Linked DNA regions of Arabidopsis thaliana. The protein of the gene in region 2 interacts with the protein of the main gene of each other region in a biochemical or structural test. Each region holds a gene or a part of one and is shown on either strand. Other genes may lie near its edges.

The links. The genes of interacting proteins can lie anywhere in the genome.
Region 1: the proteins of NRPD1B (region 2) and AGO4 form a complex in vitro, tested with the Arabidopsis thaliana proteins (2 studies listed by BioGRID).

Annotation. Positions count from the first base shown.
Region 1 is NC_003071.7:11,536,364-11,543,915, reverse strand, and holds AGO4 (Argonaute family protein), read left to right. Parts: upstream 1-1,524; 5' UTR 1,525-1,689; exon of another isoform or gene 1,690-1,708; intron 1,709-2,409; 5' UTR 2,410-2,412; coding exon 2,413-2,685; intron 2,686-2,844; coding exon 2,845-3,050; intron 3,051-3,128; coding exon 3,129-3,353; intron 3,354-3,429; coding exon 3,430-3,566; intron 3,567-3,662; coding exon 3,663-3,760; intron 3,761-3,859; coding exon 3,860-3,957; intron 3,958-4,078; coding exon 4,079-4,247; intron 4,248-4,343; coding exon 4,344-4,460; intron 4,461-4,541; coding exon 4,542-4,649; intron 4,650-4,738; coding exon 4,739-4,801; intron 4,802-4,869; coding exon 4,870-4,983; intron 4,984-5,080; coding exon 5,081-5,246; intron 5,247-5,336; coding exon 5,337-5,452; intron 5,453-5,529; coding exon 5,530-5,667; intron 5,668-5,761; coding exon 5,762-5,889; intron 5,890-5,983; coding exon 5,984-6,049; intron 6,050-6,133; coding exon 6,134-6,197; intron 6,198-6,278; coding exon 6,279-6,390; and 10 more. UniProt on the Arabidopsis thaliana protein: Together with RDM3, required for transcriptional gene silencing (TGS) by DNA methylation and repressive histone modifications (H3K9me2) of several chromatin loci.
Region 2 is NC_003071.7:16,712,666-16,717,460, reverse strand, and holds the start of NRPD1B (nuclear RNA polymerase D1B), read right to left. Parts: upstream 3,002-4,795; 5' UTR 2,737-3,001; intron 2,382-2,736; 5' UTR 2,373-2,381; coding exon 2,292-2,372; intron 2,036-2,291; coding exon 1,909-2,035; intron 1,818-1,908; coding exon 1,702-1,817; intron 1,606-1,701; coding exon 1,558-1,605; intron 1,225-1,557; coding exon 1,060-1,224; intron 894-1,059; coding exon 735-893; intron 651-734; coding exon 1-650. Other genes in the region: AT2G40020 (Nucleolar histone methyltransferase-related protein), read right to left, coding at 4,608-4,795. UniProt on the Arabidopsis thaliana protein: DNA-dependent RNA polymerase catalyzes the transcription of DNA into RNA using the four ribonucleoside triphosphates as substrates.

The DNA of each region.
Region 1 (7,552 bases), 5.2 Mb from region 2:
TCAAATCCACGGGAAAATGCCATAACAGTATAACACATTAAATTATGATGAAATCATTTGCCATAAGACGGTATGAGAATCTACGGTCTCACTAATACCCTAACATGCATAGAATAAAAGAAGGGATAAATGAAAGCAATTAAACTATATATAGTAGATAATTGAAAACTAAACTAACAAAATTAAGAACTAAAATGAGCAAATAAACAAGATAGATAAATTGAACAATCAAGATGTTAGAAATCATGCAATCGATCTACATATTTTCAAGATAATGAACCTCTAACAATTAGGCTAATTCATGATTAGTGTGGTAAAAGCCTCTAACGTAACTTAGCCAAATTCAAAATCAATTTGGTAAACTATCACAATGGTTAAGAAACAATGCACACAAATTCCTTTAAGTTACAAAGCATCCGATCCTAAATATCACTTGCTAGATGGTTAGGCCAGAAATCGTTTTCTTTCAATTTTCTTTGGGTCTGAACGTAGACACAACTCAAACACCTCTCTTGATCTTGTATGCTTTAAAATGTGGTCTCTTCAAGTCGGGTATCTTGTTTGTTTTGGTTCCGAGTGCATCTGTCTTTAGCCACCTAGCTAGCTAGAAGGTAATTGTAGATATCCATTTTCACCAACTAGCTAGTTTTTGTCCTCCAGCTGGCTTGGCTAACTACGTACGTTCCAAATGTCAAACACTTAAAAACTATATGTCAACACTAACTAACTAAATTTATTATATCCTATATCTCAAGTGTACACAATGTATAATATTAATAACATAATTCAAGCACCTCCTGATCTTATATACTTCAAAAATGTGATGTCTCTCTAAGTGGAGTATCATTTTAATTTTGGTTCCAATTGCATCTGTAATTAACCATATATAGCTAACTTGCCGATGTGTGTAATATAACTAAACTATAGAGAATATTTGTAGATACCCTCATTCTCCAGCTGGCTAGCTATGTAAGTTCCAAATGTCACACACTTGACTATTTGTCTTTCTCCACTTATAACCTTAATCACAGATCAAGAATCATCTCCAATTATAGTTTTCTTTATTGAATCCACCTAATCTCTATTCACCAATTTATAATTTTTATAATTGCGGCTTAGATACCTTTTTAGTCAATAATCAAAAATGGATTCCAGTGAGGATCAACCATAAACGAGATCATTGAAGCACATAAACTAATTGACAATAAGTTACATAGTTTAGGAGACATAAAACTGTTTAAATTTTATATTGTGCTTAATAATAATTTATAATTATTGTAACACAGTTGTTAAATCCATAGTTATGTAGCATGTACGTGTCAATTAATGCGCACATTCAATATTAGAACACAGAAGGTTTGTCTACCACCACTACCAATTGAAATTAAAAAATTTAAAATAATCTAGCGGGACACAAAGCGAAGTCAATAACATAAGTCAACCATTTTAACGGTCAAGATTGTAAGAGTAGCTCTACTATGATGGAGCCGTGACGTAGAGGAACATAACTGAAAGCGAAGAATCCTCGATTTATGCTACTGTCACTGAACCATTTTCCTCTCAGGTCGGAGCTAAATTTTGAGAGTAAAATAAAAAAGCAAAAGAGAGAAATTGAAAAAAAAAGAAAGAAAAATAATCCTCTCTTGTTTCGGCTAGGGTTTCGTTTTTGTTTCATCGATAAACTCAAAGGTGATGATTTTAGGGTCTTGTGAGTGTGCTTTTTTGTTTGATTCTACTGTAGGGTTTATGTTCTTTAGCTCATAGGTTTTGTGTATTTCTTAGAAATGTGGCTTCTTTAATCTCTGGGTTTGTGACTTTTTGTGTGGTTTCTGTGTTTTTCATATCAAAAACCTATTTTTTCCGAGTTTTTTTTTACAAATTCTTACTCTCAAGCTTGAATACTTCACATGCAGTGTTCTTTTGTAGATTTTAGAGTTAATGTGTTAAAAAGTTTGGATTTTTCTTGCTTATAGAGCTTCTTCACTTTGATTTTGTGGGTTTTTTTGTTTTAAAGGTGAGATTTTTGATGAGGTTTTTGCTTCAAAGATGTCACCTTTCTGGGTTTGTCTTTTGAATAAAGCTATGAACTGTCACATGGCTGACGCAATTTTGTTACTATGTCATGAAAGCTGACGTTTTTCCGTGTTATACATGTTTGCTTACACTTGCATGCGTCAAAAAAATTGGGGCTTTTTAGTTTTAGTCAAAGATTTTACTTCTCTTTTGGGATTTATGAAGGAAAGTTGCAAACTTTCTCAAATTTTACCATTTTTGCTTTGATGTTTGTTTAGATTGCGACAGAACAAACTCATATATGTTGAAATTTTTGCTTGGTTTTGTATAGGATTGTGTCTTTTGCTTATAAATGTTGAAATCTGAACTTTTTTTTTGTTTGGTTTCTTTGAGCAGGAGATGGATTCAACAAATGGTAACGGAGCTGATCTTGAATCAGCAAATGGGGCAAACGGGAGTGGGGTTACTGAGGCATTACCACCTCCTCCACCAGTTATACCTCCAAATGTGGAACCAGTTCGTGTTAAAACTGAACTTGCTGAGAAGAAGGGGCCAGTTCGAGTTCCTATGGCTCGAAAAGGATTTGGAACAAGGGGCCAAAAGATCCCCTTGTTAACAAATCATTTCAAAGTCGATGTGGCTAATCTTCAGGGTCATTTCTTCCACTACAGTGTAAGTTTTTGAAACTATTTTGTGTTATTTTTGTTGGATGATTGATGTCACTAGAATGGATGCAGTGTGTATGTTTTTTTGCTACTGTTATGTTGACTTATTCTGTTATTTGGTTCTGAATGATGTCAAACTAATGGGATTATTTGTGGGTTTGTACAGGTGGCTCTATTCTATGATGATGGTCGTCCTGTTGAACAAAAGGGTGTTGGAAGAAAAATCCTTGACAAGGTGCATCAGACTTACCATTCTGATCTGGATGGTAAAGAGTTTGCTTATGACGGTGAGAAGACGTTGTTTACATATGGAGCTTTGCCTAGTAACAAGATGGATTTTTCTGTGGTGCTTGAGGAAGTATCTGCTACAAGGTAAAACATCATCTGACTATAGTCATTACATTGGTTGTGTGCTTTAGTTTTTGTTCTTAGTAAGGATTTTGTGAGCAGGGCTAATGGAAACGGAAGCCCCAATGGGAATGAAAGTCCAAGTGATGGTGATAGGAAAAGACTGCGTAGGCCTAACCGGTCCAAAAACTTTAGAGTGGAGATCAGCTATGCGGCCAAAATTCCTCTTCAAGCTCTTGCTAATGCAATGCGGGGACAAGAATCAGAGAATTCCCAGGAGGCAATACGGGTTCTTGATATCATATTGAGGCAACATGCTGCTAGACAGTAAGTGTCAAGTGTATATATGTATTTTGTTAATCTCATATATTTGTCTTTCTAATACCTATGGTACAAATTGCAGAGGTTGCTTGCTTGTTCGACAGTCTTTTTTCCACAATGATCCAACCAACTGTGAACCAGTTGGTGGTAACATCTTAGGATGTAGGGGATTTCACTCCAGTTTCAGAACAACGCAGGGTGGCATGTCACTTAATATGGGTACATAATTTCACTTGTACTTGATGTTGGTGTTTGATTCTGTCTGTTGTAGCAATAATTTAGTGTCTAATAGTTTATGTTTTGTTCTTATGCTAGATGTTACAACCACCATGATCATCAAGCCTGGTCCAGTGGTTGATTTCCTAATTGCTAACCAAAATGCTAGGGACCCTTATTCGATTGACTGGTCTAAGGTTAACTACTTATTATGATATGTGGCTTTTTCATAATCTAAACATGTTCCTTACCTCTTTTGCTTGGCTTGACACATTTTAACATGTTGTTTTCAACAGGCTAAACGAACCCTTAAGAACCTAAGGGTAAAGGTCAGCCCCTCAGGCCAAGAATTCAAGATAACCGGATTGAGTGACAAGCCTTGCAGGGAACAAACGTAAGATATTCACTAATTTGACTTTGTTGTGAGATGCATTTGTTTCTGTTTTAGTTTTCTGACGTTGTGATCTCTTTCAAAGATAAATGGTTCTCTGAAGTTTGCTTTTTACACTGTCTAGGTTTGAATTGAAGAAAAGGAACCCAAATGAAAATGGAGAGTTCGAAACTACTGAAGTTACAGTTGCTGACTACTTCCGCGATACAAGGCATATTGATTTGCAATATTCTGCGGATTTGCCTTGCATCAATGTTGGGAAGCCAAAGCGACCCACTTACATTCCTCTCGAGGTTTGCCTCTTATACTCATCAACGTTCTCATAGTCATGGTATTAATTTGTTTTCAAAAATCATGCTAATGTATGTAATGTGGTGGAATTTTCGCAGCTCTGCGCGTTGGTTCCACTTCAGAGGTACACAAAAGCACTTACCACGTTCCAAAGATCTGCCCTTGTTGAGAAATCCAGACAGAAACCCCAAGAGAGGATGACTGTTCTGTCCAAAGTAAAGTATCCTGACCGCTTCATAACTGTTCTGTTTTGTCAGTGAACTGGAATTTACATATCTTTGGTTTCATGCTTTCAGGCTCTGAAAGTTAGCAACTATGATGCGGAACCACTCCTGCGATCCTGTGGCATTTCGATCAGCTCCAACTTTACTCAGGTGGAGGGTCGTGTTCTACCAGCTCCCAAGGTATGGTGCGATCGCTTACTTTTTGACATGATGAATTGTTTTTAGCTTTTGCATACATGTAATATTCTCTTGTTTTCTTTGACTGACAGCTGAAAATGGGATGTGGATCTGAAACCTTTCCCAGAAATGGTCGCTGGAACTTCAACAACAAGGTGCTGTTTCTCTCTGCCTTTCTTTGTATTTTACCTGTTCAGAGAGTCTGATTCCCTTTGTTGTACAGGAATTTGTTGAGCCCACCAAAATTCAACGATGGGTTGTTGTCAATTTCTCTGCTCGCTGTAATGTACGTCAAGTTGTTGATGATCTGATAAAAATTGGAGGATCAAAAGGAATTGTAAGCAGGATTCTCTTCTTTTGTTTTTAGTATTCTTGAAAACTTGTTTGTGATTATCAACAATTTAGATACTGCTTCTTTCTGTATTCTGTCCCAGGAAATTGCTTCTCCCTTTCAAGTGTTTGAGGAGGGTAATCAATTCCGCCGTGCTCCTCCTATGATTCGTGTTGAGAACATGTTTAAGGACATCCAATCGAAACTCCCTGGTGTCCCACAATTCATACTATGTGTGCTCCCTGACAAAAAGAACAGTGATCTCTATGGTTAGATATCTCTTAAATCCAGTCTTCAATCATCTTTTTGTTTTATATAATAGAAGTTTCCTTGGATAAATACTTTGAATCCTTCATCAGGTCCATGGAAGAAAAAAAACTTAACTGAATTTGGCATTGTTACTCAATGCATGGCTCCAACGCGGCAACCTAATGATCAGTATCTTACTAACTTACTTCTGAAGATTAATGCAAAGGTGATCTCTCTCCTTTTTTCTCTTTTGGAAATGGTTTTTGCTTCTTGTGTGCAATCTCTGATAACATATAACTACAGCTTGGAGGCCTGAACTCAATGTTAAGTGTAGAGCGTACACCTGCGTTCACTGTGATTTCTAAGGTTCCAACCATTATCCTTGGGATGGATGTTTCACATGGATCTCCTGGACAGTCTGATGTCCCGTCCATCGCTGCTGTAAAATGTTTACTCACTGCTGTTGTTTGCTTTTTAGTTTGGCTAGTTCTTCAAGACTGATATTTAGTTGTCTCTTTTGTTATGATTAACTTAGGTGGTGAGTTCTAGGGAGTGGCCACTGATATCCAAATATAGAGCATCTGTTCGGACACAGCCTTCTAAGGCTGAGATGATTGAGTCCCTTGTCAAGAAAAATGGAACTGAAGACGATGGCATTATCAAGTGTGCACTTACACTAACTCTTGATGTGGCTTTTGTTTAATCTTTGCATGAAGTCTGGTTTAAGTATCTATGTAACTTTATTTGTTGATTGCAGGGAGTTGCTGGTAGATTTCTACACCAGCTCGAATAAGAGAAAACCAGAGCATATCATAATTTTCAGGTATGTTACATCAGAGCTTTTGTCTCTTCATTTTTCCCATCTTTATTTTCTCATATTGGTTGTTTCGATGTTTAATGCTTCTAGGGATGGTGTGAGTGAATCTCAATTCAATCAGGTTCTGAATATTGAACTTGATCAGATCATCGAGGTAGTTGAAACTTCAAAATAAAAGTTTCTCAGTGTAATTTTCTTCTTCTGTTAGTACTTAATTGCATTTCTCTTTCCTCAGGCTTGCAAGCTCTTAGACGCAAATTGGAACCCAAAGTTCCTTTTGTTGGTGGCTCAAAAGAATCATCATACCAAGTTCTTCCAGCCAACGTCTCCTGAAAATGTTCCTCCAGGTGATTGACAAATCTATATTATAACCTTTTTTGACACATAGCTGATCTCTATCTCATGGGGGTTTTGGTTATTTTGCAGGGACAATCATTGACAACAAAATATGTCACCCAAAGAACAATGATTTCTACCTCTGTGCTCACGCTGGAATGATTGTAAGTTTCATCTATCAACTCAAAACTTTATTTGTTAATGTTTGCTCCTCTGAATCGTTTTAATACTCTTTATGTTCTGAATTAGGGAACTACCCGCCCAACTCACTACCACGTCCTGTATGATGAGATTGGTTTTTCAGCTGACGAACTTCAGGAACTTGTCCACTCGCTCTCCTATGTGTATGTAGTCTCTTATTCAACCTTCATTACATTTTTTGTGACAACTTCGATTGTGATGATAACAGAAATTATCTGATTTCTTTCTTTGGCAAAATTCCAGGTACCAAAGAAGCACCAGTGCCATTTCTGTTGGTAATTACCATAACTGTTTTCTCTACTCCATCGATTTAAAGTCGTCTTCATTTGTTCTCTTAATAACTGACATTTTAATTTTTTGTGCAGTTGCGCCGATCTGCTATGCTCACTTGGCAGCTGCTCAGCTTGGGACGTTCATGAAGTTTGAAGATCAGTCTGAGACATCATCAAGCCATGGTGGTATCACAGCTCCAGGACCAATCTCTGTTGCACAGCTCCCAAGACTCAAAGACAACGTCGCCAACTCCATGTTCTTCTGTTAAATGAGCAGCCCTACTTGGCTCAGTAAGTAAGTAGTAGTTCAATAGGCTATCTGACTTTCAGCTTAGGATCTCTCTCGGCCTTGAAGCCAGGCATCGACACTAAGGCTTGGAATGTTTTTTGTGACTATTATCGCCAGCCTTGTTTGCCTGTTGGGGTTTGAATATGCTTTTGTCCCCCTTAACAATTCGGTTGTTTAATTAAAGACTTATTGTAGTGAATATCTAAGTTCAGGAAGTTACCCTTTTGTCTAAATCGTTCTTGCATTGGAAACAGACTACATACATAACCTAGACAAAGCAAAGCCTTTTGTGTAGTGCTCATGATTAAAAACTGAAACCAAAACAAATGACAGAACCTAGTCAAAGTTAAGAGTTCACGACTTGTTGTAGTGGATATTTCTGAAGTTTAGGACGTCACAATAGTTCCAAAA
Region 2 (4,795 bases):
TCAGCACTGAGGGGGCTACACATCAGAGGGTTAATCTTCACGGTGTTGTCTTCATGAACATACACCCGAAGCGCTTGAAGAGAATGTTTATGTGTTGTCGGGGGTCTGTTGATAAACACAACATCCCCATCCATGACCCTGCGATGAACAACCTGCCCGGGTTTAAGCTCAGTGTGCCCCTTGGATCCATCCCTTAAAGAATAGGTCGTAGAACCTTGAGTATAACTCAAACACAACTTGTCGTCTACCAACTTTTGTAGATAACCTCTATTGTGGACACTAACCCTTTCCTCAAATGTGATTCTCTGCGCAATTTCTATTGGGATCCCTACCTCATTCACATGTCGGTAAGCATCTCCAGTGATGACGCTACGGGAAGAGAAACCTGAACCCTTACGGATGAAAAGTGTTCTCATTTTTTCTGTCCAAGCTTTTGAAGATGAACTATCCGAGATCTTAGACACCCCGTATCTCATATCAATGTTTCTTGCCGCTTTTGCAGTACCCCTCACCTGGAGATAGGTATCCACCACTCTAAACATCTCACTGGCTTCAGCCTTATGCGACTCAAAGTTTGTCTCGCCAGACCTAGAGCTTTTTATGGCTATGACTTTCTTCAGAACGTCCTTTAGCTCAATTCTGGAAGGATCCTGAAAATAAGAATGACACAAATCCAGGGGTTACAACACAAGCCAAAGCATTCAACTCAACATAGTAATTTAGTTTCAACTTACCACTGACATGGTGCTGAAACCATCAGAAGCCTCTGGCACTGACAAACAGTTAGGCGGGACAGGAAGATACTCTAGTATGTATCCTTCTTGAGGAATATGTCCCTTTGCCGTGAGTTTCTTTCTTGATTCTTCGGGGATCCGTCTTAGAATTTCCTTAACCTATTTGTTTTCCCACCATATGGAAAAGGACACGGAAAGTACATAATCATCAGTTTCCAGAAAGAAAAGATCTTAAAGATAGAGAATGATTCCAAATGAACAAAAAGAACGTCACCATAAAATCCTACATAAACAGAAACATAAACACACAGAAGAAAGTAAAAACCTCTCTTGCCAGCAGGGGACGCGTGTAATCGCTTCCATAGCGATAACCATATCTTTCCAGGAAATTCCAGCAACCAGGCTGCAGTCTTGACCTAGATGGGAGCTTCAGTTCTAGATATGAGGCACCATCTGATGCTCTATCTTTGATTGAGATTTGCGAAGCTTCCTAATAAAGTAATATAGTAGTTAAAAATCCAAGACGTTCAGCAATAATAACATCCAAAATAACATAAAGCAGTGAATGTTTCATGATGCCACGAAAATACCAATAGCTACTGCTTCACAAGCATTGATTAATGTTACTTTCACTGAATGGATCAAAAGAAGCACAAATACTATTTAGATTTGAATTAGCAAGTTTTCTAACATGCAACTAGTTGAAGGAAAACTTAGAAAAACTAACTAAATGCTGAACCAGGTTCACATAAGAAACATCTATCAACTTGCTTTCAGGTAAAACTTAAAAGGAAACAATCAGAATGTATATGCCATTACTCACCTCACAACAGACACCCAACAAGCGATCCGCCAGACCACCACTTGTGCCCTGTACTCAGAAAGGTGAAAAAGATTAGTCGAGATTTTATATGGTTTATTTATGTGTGGATCACATGGAATTTAAGAAAACTCAATGAGGTAATACCTTTGCCTTCTTTATCTTCAGACATTTCAAGCACAGAAGGCTCAGCATTTGTTTCAACTCATTAACATGAGCAGGATGGTATATTGGCACTGGAAGCTGAATATAACCAAAATGACCTGAAAATGTAGAAACAAATACCGATATCTGAAGAAGTATTCCAACAAATGATGTAAGAACAAAAATATAGCAACTACGGAACTGGATTACCTTCACATTTATCTGGTTCTGTCGCACCGCAAGATTCACATTTACCAAATTCAAGAGGTAACCCCAAGAATGCGTTAGTGAGTTGACTGGGATGATTAATTGCGGATTCACTAATCGATTGAATACACTGCAAGAAAGAATTACAGTCCAGTGAGAAATGGAATAGTGACAGAGGATATATCGCAGAACAACATTTATATGCAAAAGTGTAGCACTTAGCATCACACAGAGCTTGAGTACAATTATAGTGAATTTAGTGCCAAAGATAACCAAAACATAGAGGTTTTAGCTATTCGAAATCCTTCAGTTATGTAAAACCCATGATAAACATTGATGCAGAACAAGATGGATCAATTCCAGAGAGTATAACTCTTATAACTTACTATTTCATGGTGACTAGCAAGAGCAAATGTGATTCCAACAATCTCTCCGTCAAGAATCTCTGATGTAGATTCTTCCTCCATGAAAAAACCCTAACGAGCGAAAATCACACACCAGCGAGACCGAGTTAGCTCTTATCAGATGTAAACAAACAGAGAAACAAAGACATTTGAGCTCACTAACTTGATACAAAGAAAAATCAAGTCTTTGAAGAACAAGTTCTCAAATCTGTAAAAGATACAATTTTTATACTCGTTTACACAAAATCGAAGCTGTAGTAACACACAGTGAACCAAAAAATCCGAACTTTCAAACCTAGAGTAACCTACATTTGAAACCCATTTCGGAGAAACCCCCCCCCCCCCAAAAAAAAACACGGCGGAGTCATGATCGAGCTCTTTTCCCGGAAAAACATCTAAAGATAAGAGTTGGGTAAGACGAAAATACCTAAGAATTCGATGATTCAGCTGCGTATTTGACCCGTTTTGGTTCCTCAACCGGAGAAGAAACGAAACAGCGGGAAACAAGGGTTTTTGCAGGTGAGAAGAGGGAAGAAATCTGAGTGAGAGTGAAAATGGCGGACTTTTTCTTAAAAGAGGAAACCGAGAAAGAAGATTGCGAGAGAACAATTTTGGAGTGACTCTACTTTTCTCTCTCAAAAATCTTTTGTTCTTCTTCACTCTTCAGCTTCCGTCTTTAAAACCCACATTGCATGCAAAGGGAGAAATATTTTCAGTTTCGTTATTAATTAACTAAAATAAAAAGGTATCAATTTTAATTTTTCTTTATTTGTCAAACAATTGATAACACTTGGGAATATGCAATGATGATGAAAATGATTAAAACAAATATTTATCCACATATTATGCAAGACCATGTCAACAACCATTGACAAACTTTTTTTTTTTTTGAGAAGAATAAAGGATTTCAAAACCATAGAATTAGCAGTGAAGCAAAACATATAAATACTTCAAGTAAACTATTTTTTGGATTCGATTTTGGTGTTGTATATTTGATCGATCGCCATAGATGACCGTTTCCGTTTGTAGTACGCTATGTTTGATGCGATAAAAATCTAGCGGGAACGATGTTTTATAAAATAATGGTTATACCAAAAAAACGGTAAGAACTAAGTGGATCGACTTGTAAAAAAAAATTTGAGATATTTTTTGTATTCATGAATTTGTAAATAGTTCATACCAAAAAAATGAATATGTAAACAGTTGACCAATCAATTAAAGACAAAAAAACAGCTCTTTTGTCTTCAAAAATTATATATAAAATGTTAAAGTATTTTTTCATTTTATTTTGTTATATATTTGATCGATCACCATAAATGAACTTTTCAATTATATATTGATGCGATATGAATATGAAAGGAACAATGTTTTCAAGAGATAAACTTCGTTTTTATCCGAAAGAACGGTAACCAATGCTCATATCAATTTATAATGAAAACATGGAGAAGGTTAACAATAACTCTTTTTCTTCATTTATATAATTTTGTTTACACATAAATGAAGAACATGAGTATAAATTTAGGAAAATATTTTGTAAATAAAAAGTAAAGGGTAACTCCAAAATGAAGTGACAGATGATATCATACCATATTCATCACTCCCTTTTAGAGTTGAGAATATAGTGGTATTAAAAGGATTTTTTCTAAATTAGTATTTAGAGTGAAATTTGGAATATAATTGGAGATGCACTTATTGGCTCATGGATTTAAAAAGGGAACAAAATTGCATCAATTTCTTTCTATTCAGGAGGAATTAAGTGGAAAAAAATTTCATTCCATTTATTGTAAAAGTTAGCAAAAGTTGTAACCAAACGAAATACAATATGCTTCCTCTCTCAAACTTTTCCGCTGATGTGTAAAATACAAGTCAAGCTATACTTGCATTTAAGTTTATATGTACAAAAAAAAGTTTATATGTACAAATCAAAAATCAAAAGAATATGAAGTACCGGTTGATATTGGTTCTTGCATTTAGAAGGTATAATTGCAATTAAACCGACTTTCAGATTTGGTCTAACTTTTAGACTGGCTATTCAATTTACTTTAGAGGGATTTGGTTTCCACTTTCGACATTGATCTTTGGATAAGTGGGTTCGGGTACTATTGTATGACTCATACAACTACTGATAAAGACTATCTGCTTTCTCTACTCCATCACAAATTATTAAAAACCAATATCTCAAGAGATGTTAAGATGGGTCGTTTTACCTTTTTTCACCACAATACTATAGCTTACTACTACTATTTGGCTTCCTAACATATATATCAATTTGCTACTTACAGGAGCTCCATAGCTCCTTTACTTGTCCCACCTCATCTCTTTCTTCCTCCTCTTCTGTCCACGTACTTCCCTGAGAAGCTCTTGAAGTTCTTCACAAAGAGGTTCTGGAGTAAGCTGAATGATCTCATCATCATCACCATCACTATCCTCCTCTGGCTCCGTCTCCTTCTCCTTTGGATCCTCTGGCTCGGTCTCCTTCTCCTCTG